Linked DNA regions of Drosophila melanogaster. The protein of the gene in region 3 interacts with the protein of the main gene of each other region in a pairwise test. Each region holds a gene or a part of one and is shown on either strand. Other genes may lie near its edges.

Evidence for each region.
Region 1: the proteins of CG7407 (region 3) and stas interact in a two-hybrid assay, tested with the Drosophila melanogaster proteins (one large-scale study listed by BioGRID).
Region 2: the proteins of CG7407 (region 3) and CG11357 interact in a two-hybrid assay, tested with the Drosophila melanogaster proteins (one large-scale study listed by BioGRID).
Region 4: the proteins of CG7407 (region 3) and CG15152 interact in a two-hybrid assay, tested with the Drosophila melanogaster proteins (one large-scale study listed by BioGRID).

What each region holds. Positions count from the first base shown.
Region 1 is NC_004354.4:17,621,038-17,631,074, forward strand, and holds stas (stasimon), read right to left. Parts: upstream 6,859-10,037; 5' UTR 6,414-6,858; coding exon 6,392-6,413; intron 6,204-6,391; coding exon 5,903-6,203; intron 4,622-5,902; coding exon 4,493-4,621; coding exon of another isoform or gene 4,420-4,492; exon of another isoform or gene 3,227-4,419; intron 3,169-3,226; coding exon 2,658-3,168; 3' UTR 2,184-2,657; downstream 1-2,183. Other genes in the region: CG8326 (uncharacterized protein), read right to left, coding at 7,319-8,234, 8,304-8,386; corolla, read right to left, coding at 9,025-10,037. UniProt on the Drosophila melanogaster protein: Required in cholinergic neurons, but not in motor neurons, for normal neurotransmitter release by motor neurons. Involved in muscle growth.
Region 2 is NT_037436.4:4,538,219-4,546,288, forward strand, and holds the start of CG11357 (uncharacterized protein), read left to right. Parts: upstream 1-3,832; 5' UTR 3,833-3,886; intron 3,887-3,901; exon of another isoform or gene 3,902-4,424; 5' UTR 4,425-4,689; intron 4,690-8,070. Other genes in the region: CG11353 (uncharacterized protein), read left to right, coding at 33-576, 649-780; CG32243 (uncharacterized protein), read right to left, coding at 1,189-1,813, 1,867-2,012, 2,077-2,435, 2,495-2,629, 2,705-2,793, 2,847-2,950.
Region 3 is NT_037436.4:21,819,888-21,826,578, reverse strand, and holds CG7407 (uncharacterized protein), read right to left. Parts: upstream 3,119-6,691; 5' UTR 3,048-3,118; coding exon 2,916-3,047; intron 2,854-2,915; coding exon 2,479-2,853; 3' UTR 2,008-2,478; downstream 1-2,007. Other genes in the region: eIF2A (eukaryotic translation initiation factor 2A), read right to left, coding at 1-104, 165-1,329, 1,502-1,541; CycH (cyclin H), read right to left, coding at 3,351-3,468, 3,527-3,638, 3,694-3,922, 3,982-4,183, 4,260-4,573.
Region 4 is NT_033779.5:18,111,081-18,117,084, reverse strand, and holds CG15152 (uncharacterized protein), read right to left. Parts: upstream 2,539-6,004; 5' UTR 2,403-2,538; coding exon 2,064-2,402; 3' UTR 1,865-2,063; downstream 1-1,864. Other genes in the region: CG44476 (uncharacterized protein), read left to right, coding at 3,950-3,954, 4,015-4,243.

The DNA.
Region 1 (10,037 bases), on a different chromosome or scaffold from region 3:
AATGCCTAAAAAACACATTTGGGCAGGCGAAATTAAAACGAAAATATTTAACCCTTTGGCTAAGAAACAGAATTACAAAGCATGGGAATGTGCGACAAAAAGAGTGGGCTTATAATAAGGCAAAAAAAAAGGGAGCTAAATAAAAGATATATAAAATATATATATTGCAAAATCATCATCTTCAGGTAACGTTTAAAGTGTATTGTTGAAACTTAAGCTCAACTTTGAAAGCAATTACTCGAGAATTACAAACTGCCTAAACATACCAATTAAGCAAAAATACAGCTTAACAACTGCTTAGACACAAATTTAAAATTAAATTTTTGCCCATTTATAAGCGGATTGCTGAACGAATGCTCTCCACAATGTAAATCGCTTTTACAAAGCCCATGGTTGCCAACTAATGAAGTGCATAATTTACAAACGATTATGATTCCCTTTGGTTGCCCCGGCCTCCACTGCCACGCCCACTCACATTTGTCTGTACGCATTAAGTGATCAGAATTTGTTGCCTGAAACAGACAGGAACACTCCGCAGCAGCCAAACTCATATCTGTACTACTTAAGCCCAATAAAGATGTGCATATTTTTTAGGCAATTGCCAAAAGTTGGAGTACGCCTTTGTACTGATGAAACGCATGGCAGGCGAAATTATGATGTCGTTAATACAATTTCTATGCTGGCACGGTCGTGCAGTACTGCGTCGATACGACAAACCCAATCGTTCCGTTCTTACAAGCCCTTAAATCAAATAAATTACATATCAGAATTCGCGAATTCTTTAGCACATCAAATTTGGGTCAATGCTATATTCTTAACTATCAACTTACTGTTGATTCGAACCATACATATGTACATATATGGCTCATATCCCCCATAGGCAATACCCACTGTTTTCCTCATCACGGTCCTTTATGTTTCACTACACGCGTCCTAAATCAATTACGAAAAGCAGAACAACAGCAGAGAAGAGCCGCGTTGTCCATGATGTGCGTGTCGGTATAGCTTGACAAAATTCCGGTGGTTTTTATACCCGTTACTCGTAGAGTAAAGTAAATATATAAAGTATATATATTCTTGATCAGGATCAATAGCCGAGTGTGTCCGCAGCGAAAGTGTGTTGACCCATGTTGCCACTCCCGCCCTAAAGCCGCCAAACCGGTCACGGTTTGAACAATTTTAAAATTTTTCTCATTTTTATTTTATATTTATCCATATCCCAATGATGAAATTTCGCGTTCGCATTCACACTAGCTGAGTAACGGGTATCTGATAGTCGAGGCTATAGCATTCACCCTTGTTTTTTTGTCTTTGCCACTGTGCGTGTGGACACCTGTAGCACCATCTGCCTTGAAGACCTTCTAAGAAAAAGGAGGGAGAACACTACAGTCCAGTGCCACGACTATTAGATACCCATTACTCAGCTAAAAAATCGGGCATACAAAATGTATAAAATTGCATCCTTACTCTTTTAGTTACAAGTCCATACGAACGAACAGACGGACGGACAAGGCTCGTTAACGATTTCTTTTACCAGTTAAATACTTAAGTTGCGACATATGTAGTATGCCCCTTACTCTACAAGTTAACTGGTATGATAACCACAAGCCAGCCGACTGTTGGTGAAAAATCTCGTGGGGCAACGCAAAGTCTCGGCGAAAGTAAATTAAAAATATTTTTGAGAAACGGATCTCAGCAGTTAATCCTTTTAAAAAAGTTTGCCTAACTAATTGAGCACACAAATCAAATGGCTGCCAAAACCGCAAGAATAACAAAAAGGCGGCCAAGAAAAATCGAGCAGTATGCCAAGAATAATAAAGGCTAATTAAAGCCATAACAAAGAATAGTCGACAGGGGAAACCAAAGTTTTGGCCAATGTAAATGAACAAGATGGGCGAGAAGGTAGAAGACCAAAGCTCTTGCCAAGTAAATTCAAATTTGCCGTTAAACATTTTAAAAGCTTACAAAACAAGCATAGCTTTAAGCTTATAAGCTTATATATCGCTTTTTAAGCTTAAATTTCACTATATTTATAACGTATATTTAAATTTAATCTCACTGTTAGTAAACAAATTATTTGCATAAGTTTCATGTGAGTAAAATGACTTCTTGACCATACAGCGTGAAAATATTCTTGATAGTTTTTTAGATCCAGATATGACCGAAAATAAAACACATAATTTGTAATTTGTATTTGTTTTAACGTTTACTTGCAGACACATACATACTTTAATCATCTTTTAACTTACATACGCTGCGTAATATTCAATGGATTTCTGCTAACTCGTTTTACTTAGAGGAGAACTTTTCTAGTAAATACTGCAATAGCACTAAACAAAAATTCACTAACTTAAAAACGATTGATGGAAATATATGATGCAAAAGTTGTTTGGTAAGAACAAGTTCAGAAAACATTAATAATTTTAATAATAGGATAAACACAGATATTTTGTAGTTGTCTTAAACATAGTGGATCGAGACCCAAAGTGGCATTCCGAAAAAAAATTTACAAACAAAAAAAAATCGGTATGTGTGTGTGTGTTGTTTCTGGCGTAGTGTATAAATTACAATTAATGATTTTTCGGTTTGTTTTGGTTTCGGTTTGGGGAATAGCATACATATATATAAATATATTTTGGACACATCCTCCGGCCAGCTTACGCCTCCTTCTTGTGCTTGAACTTGTTCTTGAGTAGACCGGGCAGCAAGGATGCACAGGCGCAGGCCATCAGGATGCCCATTGAGGTCCAGGAGAAGGCCTCGCTCGAACTAGTCATCTTCTGGAGCGTCTTGCCCGCCTGGATGGCGATCACCGAGGGCGGTGCCACGCCGCAGAAGGTGCCCAATGCGAAGATGTGCAGCGGCACACCGATGACTGGCGATGCCAGGTTGATGAACCAGTTAGGCAGGATCGGTGTCATGCGCAGGAATAGCATATAGTTGAACAAACTGTCCCGGTACTCCTCGACATGCTTCGACCACTCGCTGGTCTTCTTCGGCCAGAAGTGACGAATCAGACGACGTCCGACCAGATTGGAAAGTGTATAGCATAGGGTAGCGCCCAGCGCCGAACAGAAACATATGAGGAACAGGGCGATCGGGAACTTGTACAGGAATCCCAGCAGAATCGAGAGGAACAGCGATCCGGGAATGGCGAATGTTTGCAGGCTATAAATGGATTTCAATTGGGTCAAGGTAACCAGTCGTAGGCGGTTTCATCTGATACCTGCAGTGGCAACTAAATTTAATGACCTATTCGACGTATTGCCACATTGATATGTTTTATATGGCAAAATTAGCGAAACTATTAGAGAGATGTTTTAGGAGATTGCCAGTATTCTTTGTTTATTTTTTGGCTAAAAACATGTCATGTCACATTGGCTAGCAAAATACGTTCTTTCTTGGAACCACTGTGCTTGGGATTAAAGACAGATCGTACGACTAGTTGGACGCGTGCTCGAACGTCTGTGGGCGGGTATTTATAGACGCAAAGAGTTGACAATGACACCCCCATCGTCCGAGAATCCCCCACAGTCTCGTTCCATCTGGCATCGGACCACGTATTCAACAAATGCCCGATAACAAATGCACGGGCCAATAAAAAATGCTCACTAACACACTGGCGCAAGGCTATAAAGTTACGTATGTGCTTTAGCTTTTGATTTCGCTTCTAGGTTGCCTCTTTATTTTTTTGTTTATTCCTGCTAAAAACGCACTTGAGTGCGGAAGAAGAAGAGCAATAAACAAAATACAAAAAATCAAAACACTGACGACAACAAAATAATGTCCAGCTCAGCTGATTTTCGCGACGAAAACAGCAACAAATACAAAGAATGCGTCATATAAACGACCAAAGTCGATTTTTAGGTAGCACATGCTGCGTGCACTGGAGTGGACCTTATTAAAACGATAAACTTGACACGCACCGATAAAAACTAATCATTTTAAAATATCTTAAACCCAGTTGGGTTAGCAAAACATTTTCTAAATAAACTAATAGCAACACAGTTAACATTGCGTATACGTTATTTTATTACTCATACGCACAGTGAAGAACCAGTTTTGAGCATTGTGGGTTTATTTTTTTGTTTGCATTGAATTCTAGTAACACGAAATGCTAGCGTGTGAGGAAAATCCAAAGAAATACGGTCCACCCCAGAGAGTGCAAGTAGTAAGTAAGAGCAAGAAGGCAACCTCAGCGGCTCCCCTGCTTCCTACAGCTATCTCACTCGCACTTCCCCGTGCTACCCACGTATTTAATATGCACACTATGCGCTTCAAACGGTGATCGTGAATTAATTAAGGTGGAAACACACACAAACGCCCGACTGACCGTGAATAGTTTGTAGTGGCGGGGTCTTCATTTTTGGTAATCGGGTCAAGGTCACCGCCGAACGATAGAACTCTTTTATTATCTAATCAGTCGGCGACCGACTTTTCATGCCATTTTTCGTACTTTGGATTTGTACTTTTGGATTTGGTAAAAGGATACAATACGTAGGCGACCACGACGCCAAACATCACTTCGAAGTAGTACATGTCCTTGTAGCGATCAAGGACCTTGGCTAGCATCTTAGCATCTTGGATATCACGCGGAATTTTCAAGTGTTGTTTCTCCGACCTGCAGAAGTTGGGCAAGAACAAAACCGAGACGAGGTGTAAACACAGTCTATGTATATATGTATATATATACAAATACTTCATATATCGGTGGCGTGACTCGATGTGTGTGTGTGTGTGTGTGCGAGTAAACCCTCTCGCCAGATAGCTCTGTAATTTCAGCCATTTTCCAGTCAAATCTGGCTACTCAACTGGAGCTTAATTGAAATATTTCTTAATTTACAAATTTAGATAAGTTTGGTTGCTAGGGACTGGTATATAATATTACTATTTGATTAACTATCTAAATAGAAAACCATTGTTATTTATTGAATACTATACTTTAATAACTCTTTGTAAATAGTTCCTATCTTTACTGCCCAAAAACGCCTCTTAAATGGAAGCAAACTCACGATATACAGATAAGTGTTTTTATAATGCCGTAAAAGGTATCATGATTTGGTTACTATTTCAATTACTTTATAATCACTGTATGCCAATGCAGTGAAAAGGCACGAACACAAAAAAGAACAACAAAATAGATAAGTAAAATTTCACAGCATTATCAATAAGAATAATGGGTCTGCCAAGGGACTTTGAAAAAGATTAGAGGGATCTGCACTTATAGTTTTCAACACGTTACGTTTGCTGATCAAATTTGACAAAAAAAAAACAAAGATTGTTCTCTGACTTGCTGATTCCATGCAAATCAAATTCTGATGAATTCAAATTGATAGAAGTATATGTACACAAACGTCTTGAACTTTAAACAAAATAAGTTTACTCACTCACAGAACCAGACTATCAAATAACAATCCGCTTTAGGTAAAGTTTAAAGATAATAATAATCGTGTGCAGAAAGTTTTTCTTATGCAAAGCGTGACATTTGAGTTAAGTTACTTATTTAACATGGCTGTTATAGTAAATATTTGGACAATTAAATGGCCCTTTTCTCACTACATACAAATAGTTATGTCTGATCTAGCCAATAATAAGTATTTGCAATAAGAGTTTTACATCCTACAAATGTAATATCTATGATATTTAAACATAAAATATTGTTTTAGAAGCGAAATGGAGATAACTAGCATTAGGTAAATGACTACCTAGCATATCTAATCATAGTTGGATGTAGCCTAGCTATTTTAAGCGGATCATTGGTCGACATCTCTGCTCGCAAATCAAGCGAGACAAGCTAAGCATACACACACACACACATGGAGGCCACTTAACACCTTACAGGTGCACGAATGCGCAGGGGACACACATTTGTGGCGCTTTAGCACCAGAAAGACCCACTTACGCGTTGAGCTCGGGGAATATGGCGTACACATAGCACATGGTGACCAAGCTGGCCACAAAAATGCCCGCTACGATGACCAGGGACTTCTTGGTGGCCTTCTTCTCGTCTGCGGACATGGCCTGCTTTTGCGGAGTGGCCTGTTGTTGTTGCTGCTGCTGCTGTTGTTGCTGTGGATTAAGATCTTGTTGCTCCTGTGGCGGCACCTGTGGCAACAGTGGAGTAGCCACCTGATCCGGGGAGTGTTCCTGGAGCGCCTTTGCCCTGCCATTGCGCATTGTAATCCCCTCGTCAGCGGAAATGGCTAGAAAAAAAAAACAGAGACATGCAGATGTAATATGCATTCCAAAGCAGAAGTGGTGGTGGTGAACAGAATGCACGGACTAAGGGTTAATAGTCGTTTTTGGCTTCACGGGCTGCGCACTAGCTGCGGGTTAATCACCGTTCCTTCGCTCAGCTGATAAGTAAAAACAACTAAAACAGCACACTCACCCACACCACTGCAGTAAGACATTGTGGCTTTGACACGATGTACGTAAGCCCGAGTTGAAGAAGGAAAATTTAATAAGCCTTCTATATCCGATTTTAATTCACGATTGACTCATTTAGCGTCTAGGCTATTTATCAATTGTTAATGCTATTTGTGTGCCTATTTGCGCGCCAGTCACAATTTGTTGTTCTTCTCTCTATCCGCGTGCCTATGCGTATGTGTATGTGCGTGTGTCTACAACAATGAATTTAATCAATATAAAAAAAATAGGAAGTTGGCTAAAACTGCGTTAACTAGAGTAATTGTAGTTGACTACTGCGCTAATAGCAATTTTTTTAAATTTTTTCTATTGCTTTTCACTTTAGCCGACTTTTTCGGCGAACGATCACGCTTAAAAGTCAATTTAAAATAAATTAATTTCAGAAATTTCCGTCACGACCAGTGTGGCCGAAGGCGCAGTGTTGATTAAGTCCAAGCGTGTACACAGCTACCGCACAAAACTGAACGTGGGTTTCTAATAAAATCTGGTCATACTGTCATATTTAGCGCCACTTTTTAGTTTCTCTAAATTTTATTTATATTTTTTAATGTTATACGTAAATAAAAAAATGTGAGTGTCTGCATAAGCAAGTGAAGTACTTTTTTTGTATCTATAAATATCAACATAATAGTGCCCTTTTTCTTTTTGCCAAAAGACTCCATATTAATTACCACCTCCATGAAATACTGATAGAAATAGTGGAATTAAACAGTGCACTTTTTATTTTGTATGAAAATAGATTTAATAAAAATCTCATCAATATATTTAACATTCTATAATGAAACTACGACCTTCAGTGGGTAGCAAACGCATTCACGAAACTTAAGGGATTAGGTTAACTTGTTTTCATGTAAAAAAAAAAGTACGTTGGTATCTAGTCTAGAATCTGTTAGGAATCTGCTGTTGTCTTGTTTTTGAGCTGACGGTATAGCTGAACCATTTTGCTGCGCTCGGTTTCAAGCATTGACCTCGTAGCCAAGGGCAGATCTTTCCGCTTGCCCTTCATCTGGGCCTTGGTGGGTGCTTTGAAGGCGCTCTTAGATTGGGCAGCCAGCTTTAGTCGACTGCTGTCGTCGTCCTCCGGCCCACGATTTGACTGACCCTGGTCGGGATTCAGCATGGACTTTAGAAGGAGATTGGCTTTGCGTCCTGGACGCGGCACGGTTTCACTTTTTTCCGCTTTGCGCGGCAGGATTTTGAGGGAAGGTGGGGCATGGACGATCTCACCAAATGCCACAGCATCCTGTTTGAATTCTGTTGGCCCGGCATTCTGCTTCTCCTCGGTATCAACCTCTTGCTGGGCCTCCTTGTAGGCCCTCTTCACCAATTCGCGACTGGTCTTCGCATCCATGGGCTTGTGTACGACTTGAACCTTTTTGCGACCCCTTTTGCCCGCCAGCCGTTGCTCCTTTTGCTTCTGCTTGAGCAGCTCGTCGATCTCGTTTTTCGGCCTCTTTTGGACAGTAATCTCCCCGGTTTTGGGGTTTCTGATCACGTTCACACCATACTTGGCCTCGTAGTGGGCTTCCCGTACGGATGCATTGGTCATGCGATTCACTCGGCGCAGATAATCCTCGTCCGTTTCGTTGGCGAACTGCTTGATGTTACGCGTTTCCTTTGAGGAGGAACTACTGCCAGGCTTGGATCCTGGAGAGGATTTGGGCTTATCCTCCCGTCCAATTTCGCCCAATCTTAGCTTCTTGCCCGATTTGGTGGCGTTGGCAAGCTGCTGAAACTGACGGAACTTAAAGGACACCTGCTGCTCATCCTTTTTCACAGGCGGATTGTTCGTTACTTTGGAAAGTCTGAAATGTGAAATGGTGCAGATATTAGTTTAGCTGCCTTTTTCGACTGACTTGCCACTATGAACAAACTTCTTCTCCTTCTGTTCCAGCTGCTTGAGGGGATCACGGACGCCGTGGTGCTTGCGCACGGGAATCTTTCGTTTCCGAGCCATTTATTTTGGGTTTTGGTTCAATTTTTGTAAAACAAACTCGTGGTATCGACAGCATGGGTTAAAATACTAAGCGCGATGCATGCTGACAAATACCAAAACAAACCATAAATATACCAAATCGATTAAAGCTTGGACTCAAACCATTGGCGCCCAGAATTACAAATGAAATATTAAAGTTAAATATATATTAGATTAAATATATAAATGTATTTTACACTATGTATTGTATTAAGTAGTCTTCATATTCCCCTATTTTATAATATACATTTTTAATAAAGATTTATATGCTGTAATGAGAAAAGTATTTTATTGCAAGTGGTAAAATTTACTGTTTGCAGTAAAATTAAATATTTAAAGTCACGAATTTGTCTTAATTTATTGTTTTATTAGTTTATAAGCAACGACAAAATGAAGAATAAGTCTGAAACGGCACTTTCGAACTGAATACGTATGATTTAAATGTACATATGCATATTATGTACGCAAATTAATTTCATTATAAAGCTACAAATAATTTAGCTGAAGTGAAATTTTTTTTGATTGCAAATGGCAATGAATGAATAAGTATCTGGATATTAATTAATTGTCCGTTCTTATAAAGAACATACATTAATTTTTGACCAAAATACGTTAACAATTTAAAGTATGTACGCCGAGGCGGCAGTAGGTGTAACATCATTATCATCGCTGAAGTTCAGCAGGTAATCATCGTCAAAATTGTTGTGGGGCGAGCTGAATCGAAGTGATTGATCATCAAAGTTGTTGAATGTGGACGACGGATGCTTAAAGTAATCCGGCATTGGTTGGCTCATTGGGAACTCCTCCTCCTCCAATTTTAGTCGCTTGCAAGGCGGCGCCTCGTTTTCATCGCGATTGCTACCATAGTTCATAAACTGGGTTGCAGTAAAACGATTAAGAGTGCCCTTGGAGGTGCTGGGTATATCGTCGCTGGCCCAGGAAGATATGTTTTTGAAGGGAGAGAGAGTGTCGACTCTAATTATTTGTGGTTTATCGGAAATTTCATTGGATAGCTGCTCATCAGTCTTCGGGTTTTCGCCGATTTTTACTTGTTTGGCCGCATCAGCCGGCTCCTCCTCTCCTGAAGCCTCCCCTCCGGATTCCTTGTCATCCGATACGGATTCCTCGACTTCTGAGCCAGATTTCTCATCATATCTATCCTGTTCTAGATGCAAAACCTCTTCTGACTTTTCTACTTTTACCTCCTGCTCAAATCCTTCATCTTTCAGCGCCATTTCGAATTCTTCTTCTGATATTTCCTCAAAATCTTCGTCTGTGGCCTCCATTTCGTCACTGTCCTCTTCTAATTCCGCATTTGGGACACCTGCCTCTTCTGAAGGAGAAAGCCAATCGGTCTTCTCAAATTTCTCCTCTTCGATATGGCTTATCTCTGGATAGGGAGAAAAACGCACTTGCTTTGTTGGCGAGTTGGAAATGGCAACAGACTCGACCTCCTTGCATTTGATCAAAATGGATCGCAGAGGAGTCTCCAGCTTCTTAGTAGTGATCTCTCTATTCACGCTCGTCATGGATTTATTGTCATCTGGTCTGATATTCTTAAAGATGAAGTTGTTGAGGAAATCCGAAGCGGACTGAAATGGTGAAATGGTGCTAGCGGATGGAACACCAGCCA
Region 2 (8,070 bases), about 17 Mb from region 3:
AAATAAACGCTATACTTTTCATTGATAAATAGATATCCCAAGGTGGTAAAGTCTCTAGTGGTATCTTCTTTTGTGGCCACCATCGCTTGGTCCTACGGCATCGGACTGAGCATCAAGTTCCAATTGTCCTTCGACGCGGCCTTTGCCACTGGAACAGAGATCTATACATCGCCCTTCGTAAGGGTCCTTCCATATATCCTGGGAGCTGTAACGGCTTGGCTATTGCAAGAGAATCGAGTCCAGTTGGAGATCAGCGAGCAAAAGGAACGGGCATGCTGGCACTTCGCCTTATTCGTCTTCTTCGCCTGCATTTATTCGACTGTCAAACGGGATCTTGGACCTCTGATGGCCATCACGCTTTTTGTGATGGGTCGCCTGTTCTTTTCGCTTAGTGTATGCTGGATGATAGCGCGCAGCTGCGATGGCCGGGGGGTGTGGTGGTCACGCCTGCTGGAGGCCAAGGGCTTCCAACATGTCAGTCGACTGTCCTACGCCATTTACCTTCTCAATCCGCTGGTCATAGCGTTATTCTACAGTTTAACCAACGCGAGCACACATGCGGATCCTTTCATGCTGGTGAGTACCATGTGGACTTCATTACCTTTTGTTTTTTTAAATGACTCCAATAACTTTGTCATCAATTTTTAGTGCGTGGTGACCTGCGGCTTTGCTGTCATAGTCTACCTGGCTTCCATCCTCTTTTCGCTGGCCTTTGAGCTGCCCTTCAGCAATCTTTCAAGTTTGCTAAATCGACGGCAGAGCAAGCCAAAATCGATTTAAAGATGCTAGCCCTAAACTAGATCGTTAAGGTCACCGCACACGCCTCCATCTGACAATTGTGATTGCTTTCATGTACAACTAATCATTATTATCGAATCACTAAACTTAGTCTTATCTTAGTCAATGTTACTTATATTGTATTTACTTATATGATATATCCTGTACTTCGGTGGAAACCATACTTAATAAGATAATCACTAGCTGTATATGTACTTTGTGTTACGTAAAATCATTATTCCCCAGCACAGAATATACAACTGTTGAAAAAATTTAAAAATCTGAATAATTTACTCGATATATGTTGGAATGGTCCTTCTTTAAAGGATATACATTGTGTATATTTGGCTTTTATTATATGATCGTAAGGCAGTGGAATTCACATAAGGTAAGGTAATACAAAATATTGTTTTAAGTCGATTTGCATATGTCGTAGTATCCAGGACATACTTCACATTTCTTTAAAAATTCAGCATAGGGATTCGGTCCAGTAGAAACAAAAAACATTCGTACGCGCCTCAAAATATCCGACGAATGCTCTTCAATTTCATTGAAGTCCCACTTTGGATGGTGCTTACTTATGCACAGTATTATCTGATATAGAATGGATTCCGTGGGAAAATAATATTTTAGCATTTGGCACATTTCCTCCCTCACAGTTTCCACAAATGTTTGCGTTAGCGCCATTATAAGCTTAAAAGTGTCGACTTCCAAATGCTCTGACATTCTACTTATCAAAATGTCGAAGCTCTCTGAGCTTGCAATATGTTTCTTGAGTTGGGTTCCGTATTCTCGCAGGTTTATTTCCTGCCCCTTGACTTTAATAGATAAATCTATTTCTATTTCTGGAAGATCACTTGGAGTATTTTCTGGTTTTTCAGCCTCCACAACCTTTTTTGATTTCTTGATCTTGCTATCAATGGGCTGAAATATTTTATCCAGCTTCGGTATTGAGGGCACTCCATTGCAACAACGAATGAGATTCACATTTCCCTCAATTTTAAATGATTCCCTAGCAATCTTATCCCACGCCGATCTAGAAATATTTTTATTTAGATTTGCGAGCAATATGAATCCTTTGATACCTACCGTTGCTGATTAACAAAAATGCTGGGATCATTATTATTATTATTCATCAGCGATTCAAGGCGTGAATTGTACAGATTATTCGTAAATAATACTAAGGAATCGGATAGACCAGCCACATCACCAGATTGTGTAGAACTATGAGGATTCTACATGAAAGACAAACAATTTAAACAAATTCGAATGTATGTTAATGAAATATGAAGTTTATACCAAAATCGACGAAAGCATCTTTTCACTGGCGCAGAAGTCGAAAACCTCTTCAGGATAAACCAGAAATGGAACTGAATGTATGATGATTTTTCTAAGTTTATTAGTCACACTGGATGCTTTTTTCAACGATTCGGGTGTTATTGGTATATCTTTCTTATTTGGGTGCCATATCTGAGTGGTAGTATACGTTTTTAGCTCAACGCGACCATCGGTTTGCTTGTAAACTCCAAGATACGGGGTGACCATTAGACCTGCGGCAAACCCCGTATGGGTCACAAATCGGTTCCAGGAATCAGACATTGAGTACTGTGACACATATGACATGCAACAGTCAATGTTGCTGGAATGTCCAGTTTCATCTTGTACAAATAAAAAAATATAATACATTTCTCGATTTACTTATAACTATCGAGCTTACCCACGCATCGTCGGCATCGAAACACCGGATACAGGCGCCAGGATCTACTTTCTTCGGCCAGCTTGGGATCATATACATTATTGACAACCATCACAAAAAATAAAGACGTGAGTGACTGCCCTTTGGAGTATTTTCCTGATATGAGAAAGTAGATAACATAATGACGCTTATTTGGAATATATTATTAATTTTACTATAACTATAACTCACTATAACTCCAGATCGCATGAAACATGTTAGAATCGAAATTCAGCAGAGACAGCTTTGCCTTCAATATGTTTTCTTGACCCGACGATATTCTGCAAACCTTGAGCTTTATAATTTGCAATTTTTTCGGATGAATCCTACTTACAGATCCCAGGTTATATCGTTGCCATGGCCCAGGATGTCGGCAAACTTTTGCTGCACTTCTCTGACTGTGGGAACTAAGTTTCCGTCCCCTTTTGGAGCACTCATTTTTGCAAACTTTTATTCCTGCTTATTTCTAGAACTTCTTCTGTTGCACGTAGAAGATGGAAGTTGCAACAAAAGGCGGCTATCGATAGTCAGTGCTGACGAACTGTCACTATCTAAGTAATATGATGTATTTACCAGTCATATTAGGGATATTTGTAATTTAAATAAACATTAAATAAAACACTTATCAAAATGTATATCTCTTAATGTTTATGATCACCCCAATATTGTTTACATTCGACTGTTTGTAAATAATTAGGTTTCATAAAAGGCATTATTACTCAACGAATTAAATATTATTCTAATTTTTGTTATTAAGTAATTAAGTAATTACAAAATTTAGTTGGCTGATAACGATATTAGTGCAATTTAAAAAGTTAAAATCTTAATGTTAAGTTAAAATAGGTTTCCTATCGGTTGAATCAATTATCATTGCGTTTCTTCGTAATTTACAACTTACGAATGGCGACTGAGCCGATGCACTTTAATCGATAGCAATTTTGGCAGATGGATCTTGAAAATCTAGGCAAGCTAGATGAGAAAGCGATAGAAATGGTCACCCCAAATTTTAAACGCGTGTCGATGCTTGAGTTCCATCCCTATCTCCCGCTTTCAGTTAACATTCCAGTGGTGTATATAAAATCTTATGCCTGGGGTTTTTGAAATTTATACTTAAATAATATATATTAATACTGAACATGTTAATATTTTTAAATGTGTTTTGATACAAATATTGTTAAAAACTAGATTTCTTTAACTCTGAATATTCAAAAAGTTTTATGAAGCCAACTCCCCTTAACAGCCCTTCTTTACAACTAACAACAACGCCTCTGTTAAATATAACAGTGAATTTCGCCGCTTTAACAGCAACTGAGAGCGGCTAACAGTGCGAGAGAAATTCGAACGGGGCAGCAACAAAAAAGAAGAAAAAGACTGGTAATAACGCTACGCTTCTCAGTTACTCAGTTCCGAACGGGCAAAAAACAATTTAGCGCCCTCTGAAACGCTCTGTGTTTTATTTTCCACTTAAAATATTAAAAAAGTGCATAAAAATTGCACACGTCGCTGATAACTCGCTCGGTATACTTATTCTCTAAAATACTGTCTTTCAAATCAGTTGGAAAATATGACATGATAATAAGTGAACAATAGCCGCGCCGAGAATTTTTCGACGAGTGACGGCGGTTATTCCGTTTTTTATTCAGTTTTTCTTAAAAAACCCAAGCGCATAAACAATTAAAGTCGGACAACACCATCGTTAAATGAATTAAAAGTGAATAAAAGCGCTGTCAACGCCTTTTTGGGCAGCGAAAAAAGGAAAGAGAAATCCAGGCCCAGCATCCTTCAGCCTGCTTCTTCTTCTTCCTCTTCATCTCCTTTTGCATTTCTTTTCGCCGCGTCTGTATAGGTGTTCGTGTTGGTGTGGTTGTGTGCAAGCTTGAAAATTGTGTTAAGTTAAGTAAATTTATTCCAGCTGCCAACAACAAATTGATGCCAAAAATCTATACAAATTAAGTGCTGCGTGCGCGTGTGTGTTGAATTAGCACTCCCAATTGGTGTCTCTTTCGCTCTAACTCTGTTTTTGAACTGTTACCCAAAGCGATGGGTGTGTGTAAGTGTGCGTGAGTGCTTCACATGGAAATTAATTAAAAACGCACATTTGTTGCCATTTCCCTCGCTCTCCCGCAAGGATTCGACTGACTGGCTAATGAGGAAGCAGCCAGGCGAACAACCAGCAGGTGACTATTAATACATAAAAAAAAGCATAAAATGTATGAAATTAATTATGCGAGTGCTTGGATACTATCTCTCCAGATTTCGAGGGGTTTTGTCTTTTACTTTTGCTTATCAGCATCCATTGAACAGTATCCTATTGTTGTCATTGTTGCTGCGGGGAGGGACACTTGCTCTCTCGCTCACTCTCTTTCATGTGTGGGTAGCGTTTTTTTTTTTTGTTTTTTATATACGCATCTATCTCTTCTTTCGCTCTTTTCTTCGCCTTTAAGAGGCGTTGTTGTTGTGTGCTCTTCTTTTGTGCTTTTTTCCAACATGAATTTTCTTCGCTTTTTGTTAGCACGTCGCTGTCGCTGAGGACTGACCTTGAACAAGTTCAGGCACAGTGGCACGCATGCCTGTTTGTTGTCCTCCGTTTTGGCTCGTCTGCTCCTTTTCGCCTTTTTCAACTCGTTGTCCTTGGCCTGTCCCACTGTGCCGCCTCGCTCCGTCTCCCTCTTCCTATCTTTCTGTGCGCCTCGCTCCCGTCTGAATGTTTGCCCAAGACTGCGAGAGTGTTTACCTCATCACTTAGGTACAGTGGAAATCTCACTAGTTCCGATACACCGCTTATCAATAAAAAATAACCCATTTCTATATCAATTTTTCCTGATATCAATCAAGTCATATGTATTCAACTTATTACATATTCAATAGATTTGTTATCTGAAGAAGAAGTCGCTAAGAAGACCGTGTTCGAGTCCCACTAAGATAGCACCATATCTCTAAGGGCGATATTTTGGATCTAAATCGATTTTTGTGTGATTTTCGCTAATAGACATTTAACACGTGTACTTTAAATTAATGTTTAATTTATTGAGCACTATGGCTTATAAGGAATTACAATCATTCCGTTCAGTTTAAAGTTCATTGTTTGCATTGGCGCTTCAAATTTTCAATCACATGCTCGTTGGCGAAGCTCTGATTTTTAATTGCGCCAGCTTCCGCGAGAAGCTCTCGCTCTCTCTTTTTCCCACATTCATCTCCCCTCGATCGGCCGTCTCTGTCGAATGGGCTTTAACGCTTTTTTCAGTGGCGCAAAATAACGTTGTATACGCTTTGCTTGACTGTTTGTTTGCCTATCAGCTGCTGTCACCGCTTTTCACCCGTTTGCGCCTTCTGGCCCACTGATAACCGGCGGTGCGAGGCGTTAGACGTCGGCGGTGTTACTTTTATTGGTCCGTACAGTGACCCCGAGATTCTCCGCCGACGTAACGTCACGTCAACGTTTTCAGCTTTTTGCTTTCTCTTTTACTCCCCCTTGCCGCGCCGAAATTTTCGACACGTACGAACTGCTATTCATTATTAATACCCGAATTTCGAGCGATTTGCGATCCTAAACAGTACGTTTATGAAATAACATCCTTATGTCTCACAACTTAATCTTTCAACTGTTTTCTACTTCCTTTTGGGTTTCTCCACTCGACTTATTCATGCTTTTCTAAGATATGCGAAAAGTAATCTGCATGTAGCAAGTTTCACAGAATTTTGTGTATAAGCACACCAATCTTAATAATTTTAAGAAAATTGTATTTTGGTCTTTATCAATGTGCTAGTATCAGCTAGAATATAATACTCTAATACTCGAACATAATAATTCATTCCGTTTCATCATGTGATCCCCTCATGTGAGACTTTCAAATTCAATGCTTCAAATAAATATAATGTTTATCAGATAATTGTTTTTTTTTTTTGAAACCAGCGGAACATCGAGAGAATAACACTTATTTCCATTGTGAATTTGTTTAGATAAGGCATACCAAAATACTTTAAAAGTTTATGTTCGTATAATGCAAATTGTTCTTTTATTTTAAACAAATACATACACGTGCCTCTCTTCTCACACACGCATTTGCTGATGTGGATACATTCTATAAATATTGCAAGTATTTGGAATTTCTTGATTGCGCGCGTAAATGGATAGAAACCAGACATCCACGAAATTTGTGCACTGCAGGAGAACTTTAATTTATTACTGGATTTCTTACTTACTGGATCATCGTGTGATTTCTTTAATTTACATGCGAGCGATTCCGAGCGTTGCAAGAACAGCAAAAAATGGCCATGATCATGTTTGTCTAGTTCGTTTTAATTTTTATCAGCAAAAAATTTAATTGAGTGCAAATCGCGAGCCGAACCGAGCAAGTTTCCAGAAATGTGAACTTCCCAAACACCAAGAAAACTGAGTCACCACACAAACATTTCGATTGTCTGCTTCAGCGAGCCCATCAAGGCGTCGTCCAGTTGCTTTTCCCTTGCTAAATGTTCTTTATTTTGCCTATTGAAATACAAATATGTGCAGTGTGTTCACTATCGAGTCCCAATGTACAAATGTCCCGTGTACCAAAGAAACGCTGAGAGTGCGTGCAGAAAACACGTTTTGTTCGGGGCTCCGAAACCGGACTTTGCCCTGTGAAAAGGTAAACAAAAGGCGCTTAATTAAATTTTCATACGCAGCCGAGGAATATGTATTCATAAGTTATTTAGCGTGCGAGAGAACGGGAGCGACCAACCCTGCAGAGGAAGTCCATAAAGTAGGCAGGACCTCGGCTTGGGCGTGGTTCCTCTAGTTTTGCATTTTTATTCCCCTCCACTGCAGCACAAGCTATTTTAATTGCCAATTTGCGGGGTCGCCGGTTTGTCACTCAGCCCGTCGTGTCCTTCAATCGAGCTGAATGTATTTGTCGTCGCCACACAGCCACCCCCCGCCCACTTTATATGATCCCCTCCATCGGGGGTTATGAGTAATGCCCTGCACTTTATGTGCAAAACAGGAAACTTCGCCATCCGTGTCCTGAATAACGAATACATGCAACTATGTACTTTCTACAACCGCAAGCTGCACTGGATGAGTTAATTATGGGCTTGAGCATATACACTGCGAGAAATGGGCCCGAGGCCTCGCATCTCGAATGCTTAAAGTTTATTTTTTCGACATTGTAAGCTTATCTCGGTGAAACTAACTTTGCCCTTGGGTGTAGTACAATCAAAGGAAACTGCGTCTTACTATAAAGAAAATAAAATCGTTTGTTTTTAATTTTGAAATGTATGATTCGACTATAAATTTTTAGTAAATATGTTTATGATAATTTATGATGACTTCTTTCAGTCTTCAAGTCAACTTTGTTTGATGAGGCAGTGATTAATATGAAATCGAGGTTTGGATTACTTGGATCAATTTCTGTGAGTGGAGGCCAACGCCCAAGCCGCAGACCACAGGAATTGGGCAAGATAGAGCTCGTAAATCCCGAGAAGGCGGCGGATAATGCCTCGGAGGTTCGGGCAGATTGCATCCGCATCCGTTGGCTGCGATGCCTGACGTTGCGATTGCGATTACAATTGCAATC
Region 3 (6,691 bases):
ACGTCTTATCCGCAAACTGCTGCCACTCAATTCCCAACAATTCCTGACCCTGGGGCCACATGGTCTCGTGGAGCAGGGCCCCGGAGTAGTGGTACACCTTGAACCTGCGAGAAATTTGCTTTAATGGTAGTATGCACAATATGCACTTGGATGGATCCACTTACCCATTGCTAATGCGCAGCCTGGGCGCGGTGGTGGCCGTGACGAACCACTCGCCATTGGGATGCCACTCAAAAACCGTGGTATCAGCACACTTGAGGTTAGCCAGCTTCTCGCGCTTGGACACATCCCACACCTCGACGGCTCCAGGCAGATTGCCGAAGCCGGCGAGAGCTATGAGGTTGCCAAATGGATTGAAGTAGGCACAGTTGCGTGGACCCTCACCGAAGTCGAAGACTACGTCGCACTTGAGGTTGTAGAGAGCAGCCTTGGATGGCATGAAGCCGTATACGACTACAAACTCAGTTGCCTTAGGACTCCACTTGACACAATGCACCGGTCCCTCCTTAGAGAGGGGCACTGAGCAGGTGTCGCCCTTGGTTGCCATGAAGTGCACCGCCTGGTTGCCGTAGTAGGAGGCACCGCTCTTATCCACTTCCGTGCTGGTTAGGAGAAGCAGTCCGCTGCCTCGCTTGTTCCACAACATCTCGACGCGATCCGCCTGGAAAAAGCTCTTGCAGGCTACGGTCTGATTCTGGCCAAGCGCCGGGTACTTGTAGAGCTTGCACATGGACGGAGCGCCCTTGGCTCCCGGCGTGTAGAACGCAAGGAACGGGGGGCAGTTACCGGGACCCAGCGACAGCATACCGCCGCGACTGCCTCCTATCTTGCGCGATGTGGTGGCGAATCCCTTCTCCGCTCCCTCGCCGAGGTCATAGAAGAGTGCCTCGCCGCCGACTACCAAAGCGAAGATGGACTCGTCCGCCGACCAGGAGGGCTGCCAGTCCGCTTGGTTCTTCTGGACGATGGCAAACACTTCGACACCGGTGGCCACTTCGTAGACGAGCAGATTGGGTGACCCCTCCGGCCGGTCCTTAGTGATGGCATAGTGCTCCCAGGTGCACAGGTAGCTGCCACGTGGCGAGAATTGGAGGTAGAAGGCTTTCGGCCTGGGCAGCACGCATATCACTGGCCAGCTGGCTGCGCTGTCCCGGCTGGCCTGGAGCACCTTGACTTCCTGCCCGTTGGAGTAGGCGAAGTACCGGCCGTTGGAGCTGAAGCAGATCGAGCGCGAGCTCTTCGTCTCCTCGCGCGGCAGGTGGGGCTTGTGCTCGAAGGGCTGCTTGGAGCCCGCCGAGGACCACAATTCCACGGCCACGCTAGAGCGAACTGTTGATGAGAATCGAGAGGTGACCCCGATTAGCAGGTGGAAACACGAGGTCGCGCGGTTTTTCCAGTTTTTCCGCTAACCGGGCGGCCCAATCGGCTGCCTTCGATGCTCCAAGGAGTCGACGGCACCTCAGTGACCACCTGGCGGGGATTGCATCCGGGCTATACTCACTGGCAAGGGTAGGAACAACCAGATCCGCAGCTGCAGCCATTGTCTTCCAATCTCACACGCACACACACACAGGAACAAGCACGTCGGTGGTGTTGTTGCTGTTGTTTTTGTTGTCGTGTCGTCTGATGTACAATCAGTGTTGGTCAACGATTTCGTGCTTGAATTGGTCACACACGGTTGCCGTGTACGCGGTGTATCGATAAGCGATAGTAAACATGCATGGGCATTGGCGCCACAACGACACGTTTAAACATCAACCAAACCAAACCGAACGTATTTAGAACTCCAACAAAATATCTGCTCCACGTGAATTTAAAAACATTTTAGTACTAAAAAATTTGGAACAGAAACGCTAAGCATTTCGACTGCTCCAATCGAAGGTGTGCTGATGGAATCTATATGTTAGAACAATTATTTTCAAAAATCCAATCGCGGCATATAAAATATGAGCGGTTATTTTCGGATATTTGGCTAGGAAACGGTAGGAAATATTTAGAGTATATATTACATCTTAACACAGCTAAACATTCTTTATTGAACAAATAAATCCAAAGTTATATGAACACAATTTAAATCTAACCAACGAATTTGGCGATTAATTGTGTTTAAATCTATACACTTTCTGATCGCGAGTTTTTATCTTGTAACACGTTAAAATATATACATATATTCTTAATTCGAAAGCTGATTTAAGAGACTAAGAGCCGAACAGCCATTTACTACAAATCTAAATCAGATATTAATAACACCAGGAACTCACAAAATACATAGATCGAAGTGGAATACATATAATTTACATACAACTAAGATATTATATTCCGACATCATCGACTGATGAGATAGCTCTCTGACTAAAGACTTGCCCGCACTTAGTGGACCGTATGAGGCAACACCAAATCTTGGAATTTTAAACATTAAACTAATAGATCACACAAGTCTGTACATTCAGGTAGGGTGAGCCCAGGCTCGGCGCCACTTCAGCGATAGAGCCGCACCTGCTGCTTGAGATCCTGGTCGCTTATTCGGTCCTGGAGGTTCAATTCCGCCTCCTGTTTGCGCAGGAGCTCAAAGATGGCCGCCAGCTGCTCGCGCTCTATTCGGCGCTCCTCCTCGATTTGGCTGGGAGTCAGGGTCTTCTCCATCTTATGCTGGAGCCTCTTGGCCTTGAGCTGGCCCATCAGGTGGTTGTAGCTGTGCTCGGGCAGCTGTTCCTCGATTAGCTCAACTTCGCTTTCGGTGGAGTTCTCTTCGTAGGCCTCGTCATCGTCGGTTTCCTCCCCTTGCGGAGTCCGTGACTCGGAATCCTCCTCATCGCGCGGCTCGTCGGCCCCCAGGCCCTCGTCCTCCAGTTCCTGCAAGATAATGTAAGGAAATATTCCAGGAGACGTCTACTTCTTCCGGCAAAAACACCCACGCCTTTGTCCTTGAAGATGTTGGCGAAGTAGAAGGCGACCAAAACGCACAGCAGAAGGGTGACCAGCGCTACCGAGTAGTGGCCTGGTAGTCCAAGAAAGAGAACATCCAGCGAAGGCAGAAAATCCTGCATTTCGAACTCTTTTTGCTATTTGTTGTGACTGAGTTCACTATTCTTGTTTTTCTTGGGGCGCAGTGTGGCCGTTAGCTGCGAACGAAATATTGCCAAGCAGCGCTAAGCGGATTTTCAAAAGGTTTTTTTTTTAATATTTTATATATTGGAAAAGTGAAGTACCTAATCCAACTTTGTTTAGTAAACTAACACTAAACGCATACATTTTAACAATCAAGAAATGGTAAATTACAAAATGCTTTAATATCGATGAAATCCACGCAGTAGTAGATCATCACATCATTTAAATAAATATTCTTAAGTCTATTGGCTGATGTTCATAGCAGATGTGTCCGAGCTCACATCTGCAATGTGGAATGAGGCATCTTCGGCGGGCATGTCATCCTCATCGGTGTACAATCGGCGTAGGCGCTCCTTATAGCTTTTAAAGTATAAGGGTTATTAAATTCGGAATGCATGAACAAATTAGGGCGTCTTACAGTTCGCTATCAGGATTATTGGCTTGATTTCGGCACTTGTCCAACTTTTTCTCGATGGCCTTGACCTTCTCCCGATCGGGCTGCTGATATTGCTTCACCATTATGCGAATTTCTGTCGGGAAAAAGGCATGTAGGGCTGGGCGCACCATCTCACAGCACAAACTTACTTCGCACGGCATCTATGAGTCCGGGTAGCTTCTCCCTGGCGGAGACAAACAGAAGATCCGTCACATAGCTATCGAGATTCTCTTGCTCTCTGCTGGCCGCGTGGAGGACGGCAGCCAATGCAATTTGCGAAGGCGTATGCAGAAGACAGGCATCCGAGTAGTACGTGGAATCAATGAAACTATCAATATGTGGCCGCAGACGATCTGGATTCTGCATATTGCTGCGAGTCTGAAACAAACCAATATGAACGAAACAATCTGGAGAGCAAATGTGAATATATATCGCACTTTTATATCTATCAGGAAACCCTCGATGGGTCTGAACGGATTGTGTATGGTGAGGTAGTAGTTGAGCTGTCCAATCAGCAGTAATTCATTGGACAACACTATGTCGGTGGCCTTGTTCCTGTCGCCCTTGATGTTGTTTACGAACTGGTTGATGGACACGTTGAACTCCTCAACTTTGCAGGCAACGAACACGCATGTGGCTCTGAAAAGGTTTATACATTTTTAGAATGTTTTGCTTTTCAGCTGGGTGTTTGCTGCTCTCAGGTGAGCGTTCCTACAGAATCTCCTTGGGGTGATAGTCCATGGGGGAGTTGTTCAGATAGAACCGCTTGAAGTAGTGGAAGGCCGTGCCCACAACGCACTTGGGCATCGTCGGTTCGAAGCGGCGGCAGAAATCGAACAGGTAGATCTCGTACTGCTTCAGCAACAGGCGCTCCTCCGCCGACGTGAGAAAGTGCTCATTGAGGTCGCGACCCTGCGCCTCCTCCTCGTGCGACTCGATGTACTTGCTGTTCTGCTCCACGCGGAACTCCATGAGCTGGCCCTCATTGGCGAATGTCCAGGACCTCTTTTGCGAGCTCACAGGATACATCTTGCTCAGCTGCCGGCGAATTTATGCCGATTCGAAACTCAGACACCCTGCATGGTGTTACCGATTGCGGGACGGAGAAAAATACCAGTTGTGAAAAAATATTAGGGTGATTCGTACAATAGTCACTTTTATTTCATTGGAAATCAGAAGCGCAAGATTGGCAAAAATTGAGAACGTATAACTAACTGTATGGGCTATGATTTAATCAATAAGTGAACACGTTTTAATACAGCTACAAGTTCGAGTATAATTTTAGTAGGGAAAACATCATTTATTTTGGTTTTAGTTCTAAAATATTTATTAAATATAAATCAAAAATAACTTTTTATCAATCTTCTTGTATTAAAAATCTAGTTTCAAATTTAAATAACTACAATCATCTTTTTAGGCCCGAATACATTTCATACAGAATGCATTCCATTTTAAATATTTCATATTTCAAGAAAATTACCTATGCCCATTCAACGTACAAGTTATAGGAATAATAAATTAATAGTTATTAAAGCTGGATCAAAAATAAATTAAAGAGTTAAAGGAAACGAAGGCAGATGTTTAAAGTGACGTACTTATATGAACATACAGTATGTATGTATGTATATACAACAAAGTTGAATTTATGGACCCAGTTAACAGTTTCCTTTTTTCTTGGCCGAATTTCTGAACGCACGTGCTACGCATTTTTTAACTTTGAGGTGCCTGCAGCATCAGTCGGCTCAGAGTTGAATTAATATTGTTTTGCTTTTGTTTTTGCAATTGGGTCACTTAAATCTGCGGACGTGAAAACAGCGGAACAGTAGCGGGAATTACTCTTTCGTTTTTGAACGGCAATAATCCTTTAAATAATCGTTTCTGTACAATTATAGTTTCTTAATTCATTTTGTGAAATTAATCGTAAGAATACAATGGTTATCCCAGGATATAGCGTTTTTTGTTGGGAATACCTTTCAGAGAATATTTTGATTTTAGTCTGTAGTGTGCAACAGAGACATTCGTGACCATATAAAGGATATATATTCTTGATCAGTATCAGCAGCCGAGTTCACATACATATATCCGTTCGTCAGTTTCTACGCAAACAAGTCATTTAAATCTGAAGCAATCTGCTGGCAGTATGTATATTATATACTATTATAGCAAAGACACTAGAATTATTTGAGTGTCTTTGATTATAGTATGAATATTATATAAGATTGAACGGGACGGATCTGACCACTATATGATAAATCTGCTATAGGAATTATTACCTTCGCTGTATTTATTCATATGTATATGTATGACTACGTTTTGACTAACGTTTTATTATTCGTACCAGAAATGTGGCAAATTATACTTGACTTCCCTTTTTGGTTCTATAAACTTTAAAGAAATTTTTACCATTCGGAAATAAGATTGTGGCTAAGGGTATTCTTAATAGTGGTTAAACTAACTATATTTACTTTTACTTTAGGTGATGTAATATATATTGCATTAATTCTGTAGTATGCATTTATTTAACTGCGTTCTCCTTATTTTCCATATCATGCCCTAATTGGCAATAGTGCCTAAGTTGGCTCACAACTCTTAAAAGTCTTAATTTTGTATTTACTTGAGCTACCAAAAGACATTCAATTGCTTGGTAACTCCGAAGCCTAAAGATCAATCGAGTGTAAGGCATATCGAGTACTTTGTATGCAGGAGCTGCCTTCTGTGGCAATAAAATTGCAATTAATTTTTATTGACAACTCTGAACTCCTGTTGTATCGTCTGGTTGGTGATCTTTTCGCGACTTCTCAGTAATTTCACAAGGTAAAGAGTGTTTTTGTCTCGAACTGTAATGCTGCTAAACGGATCTTTCAGAGCATCTTTATTTGGCATCTTAACACAAATTGGCAACCAATTAAATTACTAATTATATATATATTTATTTTCATAATATTGATTTTACTTCTTACTCATGAGATCTACGATGCTAAATTAAGCCTTAGTTCAATGCTCTATGACAGAAATTATATGAAAGTGTGTTAAGTGAAATGTCATGATCCTTATTATTTGATATCCAACTCTGGCAATCGCAAGATTTTCATCTCACCGAATTCAGCACTTGTTAGGATATTTTATTAAACTCAATCCCCAAATGTG
Region 4 (6,004 bases), on a different chromosome or scaffold from region 3:
TTCGTCCTTGCTGAGTGGGCTAATGAAAAGCGTTCAAGTGAGATTTACTTAAACAAATTCTAAGACACATTCCCCTGGCAGTGACCAACATGGCTGTGGAGTCAGATGTCTTGGCTCCCGAGGGCAGCTTAGGATTCTGCTTCTGTTGCAGCCAAACATTTTATTTGCATTTCCACAGTTGTCCTTCACTCGCTTTGCAATTGAGTTTCTCATTTGTGTCCTTTTTACCCGGCTTGTACGAGCTCTGAATAATGGAGGTGCTGCCCGCTTGTGGAAAATGCTGTGATTTAAATATTTAAAAAGTGGCAGAAATAAAATGGAAGACAGCTTTTGTTTAAATGCCTTTTATGTACAATATTGAGCCAGCAGGCAATCGAGCAATAAATCAATGCAAAATAATGCATGTGCATATCGAACGTTTTTCTTGTTTTGGCTCAAGGTTGTATTGTTGTTTATCACAAAACGGTTTAAGCACCGCTTTGCGGCACCTTTAGTTAAAACGTTTTTCCTTATTCTACTGCATACTTAGTCGCTACATTCAAAAATGTATTGAAGGCAGTTTCGAATTAAGATTTAAGATATGGCGGGCTTAATTACAAATATAGCCACATTTGTTTGATTCTTTTGCTCAATGCTAGAAATTACTTTATTTGTATGCATGTAGTGCCATAAATCCGATAAATATTCAGTTGTATGTATTTAAACGACATTTCCTTGATATTAAAATGTTATATCTGCTACTGCTTTTTATTTGTGAAATCATTTCCAACCCGGTTTTTTGCTCCATGGCATTACAAAGTGTCCGCGGGGCGGTTTCGGCGCCGTGGCATCCGGTGGTCGGCGACCGGAAATGGCATTAATGCCTAAGCTCGACGCCCTTTGCGCCATTATAATTAAATGCGCTGGCGACTTCTGCACTCCGTCTGAAAAGTGCACCCTGCAAATAATTAGCACGGCTCGGAATCCTGTGAGTAATTAAGGTAAGTCAGCTGTTGCCTCCGTCTCGAGTGGGGCCAAAAAACGGAAAGAGCAAAAAGTGTCGTCCATTGTCAACGGAAATTAAAGTTTAATGGGACAACGTTTTTTTTTTTTAGAATTTCCAAGTGAGAAATAAGCTTGTCCGGCTGTTTTTACGCTGACCAAATGTTCGTAACATTTCAAGCTATTAAACTAGAATTTTACCAACTTGATGGCACACACAAGTGAGAAAACTGTTGTAAAAACATGGAAAATTCTGAGGGAGTCGGAGTTTTTCCAGCAGTGGCATGTGAAAAGCAATTACAGAAGTGATTTAGAAAAATGCAAATGTGAAAATATTTAGAGAACTATTTCCATTGGGAACTGGCATAGTTGAAAATTCGTTGTATTTTTTCTTTTTCAAGTGAGAGTGGAAATAATTTTAATAATTTTGTGTGCCAAACACCGGCGCAGATGCGGTTTGTGACACTTCCTTTAATAAACAACAGCGTTAAATAATTGAATTTCCACTCTCCATCGCTAAGCCGCTATTAATGAATTTTTAATTAGCGTGCTTAATTTAATTAGTTAATTGATAAGGGAATCTTTTTTATGTACTTTGCTTTGTTAATCTCTGTGATGTATGGAGCTTTAATGTGTCACTACAACATTTGTCCTTTATACATCGACAAACAAAATGCGTATTTATTTTGCAGTTAAATGGCTTGAATTCGTGATTCTTTCGTTCACTTTTGTTTGCTTATCTCACACAAAGCCCTTTATCTGGCCACCTTGTTTCGCTCTCTAGATTACGTTCATTTATGGGCCGTAAATAATTAGTTAATTGAACCGGAATTATCGGAAAACGTTAAAAGCACTGTCTAGTCAAAAATAAAACACATGGATTATGGGATTTCTTTCTTTACTTTGAACTTATATTAAATCATGATTTTTTGTTCTTAGCGCCTAATCAGTAAAGCCGCTTCCTTTTTAGTTAAGCTTTGCATTTGCTAGCAGAACACAGTTCGATTGCCACTGTTTGAAAACAGAACGTAGCTCGTAAGTGCGATAACGCTCTAAATTAGTCACGACACGTACATATTATTTCACCGCACTTTTATAGACTGCACCTCCAGCCAAATCATCACAGCGGCTATAGCCACATATATAGCCACGATCATGAAGATCTGCAGGGGACTGGCGGTGAAAACTTGGACCACCAGCATCACGGTTCCCAGAATAAACACCCCGGACAGGAAGCTGACCATCAGTATGGTGGACCAGTTGCGAAACCAGGCGTGCTTTTTATCCGGCGGCGGTACAAAAATCGGTTTCAGCGGGCTGTACTCCTTCTTATACTGAGTCTCGTATCCGCTGGTAAAGTCAACCTCATCGTGGTACGTCCCCGGACCCGAGGTTCCAGCCTTAGTCTCATCCGTGTCCATTTCAAAACGCGTTCTGCTCTCGACTAAAGAGCGATTCGCTGGTCTCCGGGCATTTTCAGCGGTTTTTTCCTTCCCTCTTTTTCATGATTACCAATCAGTTTGGGGTCTGGGTTATTATCGCCACGGCAGAAGGTGGTAATTGAGGCAACAACAAGGCAAACAGTGAACCGTCAAGAGCTGACAATCTTCTTTTTGTTGCTTGTGACTCAGATAAGATAACTATATAAGTCTGAGAAAACCCGTCAAACGAGAGCGGAGAAGAGTCTCAAAATGACAAGAAAATCACATTGAAGTAAGAGATTGCGAAGAGAGATCAATTTGTTCTACGTTATCAATTTATGCTTACTTACGAATCATCAAACCCTATCAACTTTGATAACAATCTATTAAAAGCGATAAATGTTTTACATTCATATATTAGGCATTTCAGTACTTATATACTTCTGGCACTCTGTTTCCGTCTTGAGAGATTCTCTTTTTTGTCAGTTTCCCCGCTTTCAGCTATCTGAAGCTCCTTCTTCAGTTCCGTCGCCGGCTTTAAAGGCTCCTTCTTGCCTTGCCTAACCAAGCGACATTGAGGGCTTTCTTCGCCGTGTTTCGTTCTTTTCGACAAACAGCAGTGCTTTGCGGATCATTTAGCTTGAACAACCCACAATGCCACCAATTTCAGCGTATTTTTTACCTTTAGAGATCATGTTTTTAATCAAATTTCTTTTTTCGACGGTAAAATGCTTGCCGCGACCCATGACTAGAGAACTTTTGGTCTTCGTTTGGAAAAAATTCAATTAAAACCTTTAATACAACTCCTTTTTCAAAATTTGTCGAAAAAAACCCAAAGCAATCACTCTATTATTCAGCAAATACGTGGTCAGTGCTATTTTTGTTACCGCCTCATTTCGCGCACTTTTGCAGCAAGTGCCCAAAAACAAAAAGAACCTTTACATTGAGAGACCATAAATTTCTTGCTCAGAGAGCCAACATATGGTACTTATTATTCATGCAATCTGACTTTAAAAAATATAAACATTTAATAATTATTTTTAGGAAATGAACTTTCCACCTCCAGTAGTGCTATTATTTTAACCGCAGCTGTATATATTTCCGTCTTGAGAGGTTCTCTTTAATGTTGTCTCTTAGTTTCAGTCAAATTCTCTGAAAGCTTTGGTTTTTACTTACAAATACCCTTTCTAGGGTTCTTATGGTGAGTTTACTCCTCTCAGAAATTTTCTTAAATAATTATTTTATTAGTTCATATTTTTTCTTACACTAATTTTAGTTATTTATCTAATGAATGTACTTGTGATCTCAGACTTACTTTACAGATACCTCTTATATAGTTTTACTTAGGACGGTAGTCCCTTAAAAATTTGTCAATATATTATCATTTTTAATGGTGCAAGCTGCATACGATCCGAAAGATTTTAGTACAGTGTGCCTCCGTTCTTGAATTCGATTCCCTTGAATATTTTTTCATGTTTGCAGATGAGTGCCTTCATCCAGTTTATACAGAGCCTTCAAGCTGAAAAGATCAGAGTGCCTCCAAAAAAATGGGGTATAATACTTATTTGAAAGTATTTCAAAAGCATTAAAGTGATAATTTGTTTATTTAAAGTGAAGAAAAAGATGTCTTATTGGATAGAGATAGTTGCACCCTCAACGGAGTGGACCAAGAACAAACCGATGCGATTCATAACGACTCTAATATGGAAATATTAACTGAGGAAGACTCAAGGCCATATACTTTTTTGCAAAACTTTAATTTCGTTGGCTTATGTGTTCTTTATAATTTTTGCATGCTTTTAATTGTTCTGTCCATATACATCTACAAACGATGGAATTAAAAAAGGGATTTTAAAATGATTTTGAGTACGTATCAAGCGCTAGTTAATTTGATTGCATTATGTATCCTGCTTAGCTGGGCTAACTTGTTTGCATTAGAAGAAAATGAAAGCTGCCTTCTGTCCTAAATGTACTTAAACTTCAGTCCACTTTATTGCCACCAAACAATTTAAGTTGTTGACAAAGTCATCAGCATGCATCAGTCAGCGGTTTTTAAAGAAAGTGCAGAGTCGGCGGAAAAAAATATGAGAAAACTCGCAGTTGCCTCTGTGGCATTTTTAGTTCCTTCAGCGCATCAACAAAACTTGTACATCTTGCTCGATGATCTACTCCGGATCTTGTTTACCGATTGTGCAACAATGTGTTCACTTTTAAATAATATCGAAAATCAGACTGTCTACTGTTTGTGTTTTTTTAATGGGAGATTGTTACTTTTATTTTTCGAAAGGTACACTAAATTCACTTTATCATTTCGATGCATTCGAATTAGGCAATTACTTACCCAGTGTGAACTTTTCATATCAACCCGGCTTATAGATAACCCCCTCGAGTTTGGCCCAGTTCTTCGCACCTTGGCCAGGGCTCATTATTCAAAGCTAAGACTCAGATTAAATGGAAAGCGATAGAATGACTGGCGGAGTGAAAAATGCTAAGAAAGAATCAAAAATTCATGAGGCGGTGCGCGCGAATTATAGCGACTTACTTGATGGTTTAAAGGCGCCCTTGCCGCGGCTATTCAGCTTTTTAGCTTGCCTGTTTTGCCCGCCAACATGCGTTTGTTGTTGCAAACTTTTTCCATCAAAAGTTTCGGTTTTCGATACGCCTGCTGCTGGCAGCTACCGATCCCCATTACCCATTCCTTATTCCCCGCTCCCATTTTCCATCCCCCCATCCATTCTGAAATTCCGCTCCAGCTTCAACTGGGAAAAGTGCCACTTCCGCTTTGCGTCAGTGCACACGGCTGCCGAGCACAAAAGTGTGACTGAAGTGGCTGAAACCAGCTCGATTTTCCCAGCCCATTTCCCGCCCACTTTGGTGGCGGCTGCCGAGGCTCAGGTGTTAATTAACTTGGGGGCCGGCACTAAATTTTAAAACTGCAACTTGCCCAAAATTAATGAGACTGACGTTTGTGCGAGTTACGAGCGAGCTGGAATTATAATTTCGGCATGGCGGACAAACTGCAGAGCAGGCTAACTTTCAAGTGGTCGGCAAGGATGCCCGGAGATCATGAATATTCATCAGGACGAGACGCAGCGTCCAATGTTAAGCCGTAAGCTATTGGTTGTTTCTGTCTGTTATACACGTGCTTAATAACATCTAAGCCTCTGTAAGCTATATTGAATCAGGTAGTTAATACGGATAGTAATATTTATAGAACAATGAACATTTGAAATCCACCCCAGCACCCCGTACTCGCAAAGTAAAGGGATATAGTAGATTCGTTCGCTGCACAGTTTGTAACAGGTAAGTGTCTTATGCATATTCATCAGGATCTTTTCCGTGTCTATCTGTTCGGTTCATCTGTCCGTTTTAGCGCTTTAATTTTGGGAACTGTAAAAGTACGAAAGTCCAGGTAGGCAGGCTTTTCAGAAGATTGCCACGCCCACTCTAACAACCATAATTGTCACGCCCACACACAAAATAATCTCGACAATCGTAGATCCGGCTTATCAGTTAATCTTGTTAGCCGAATGTAAAATGCATATTCAATTTTGGCATATATAATTCCATTTCAAGTGCTTCTCATGTTTGCCTGCGTGTTT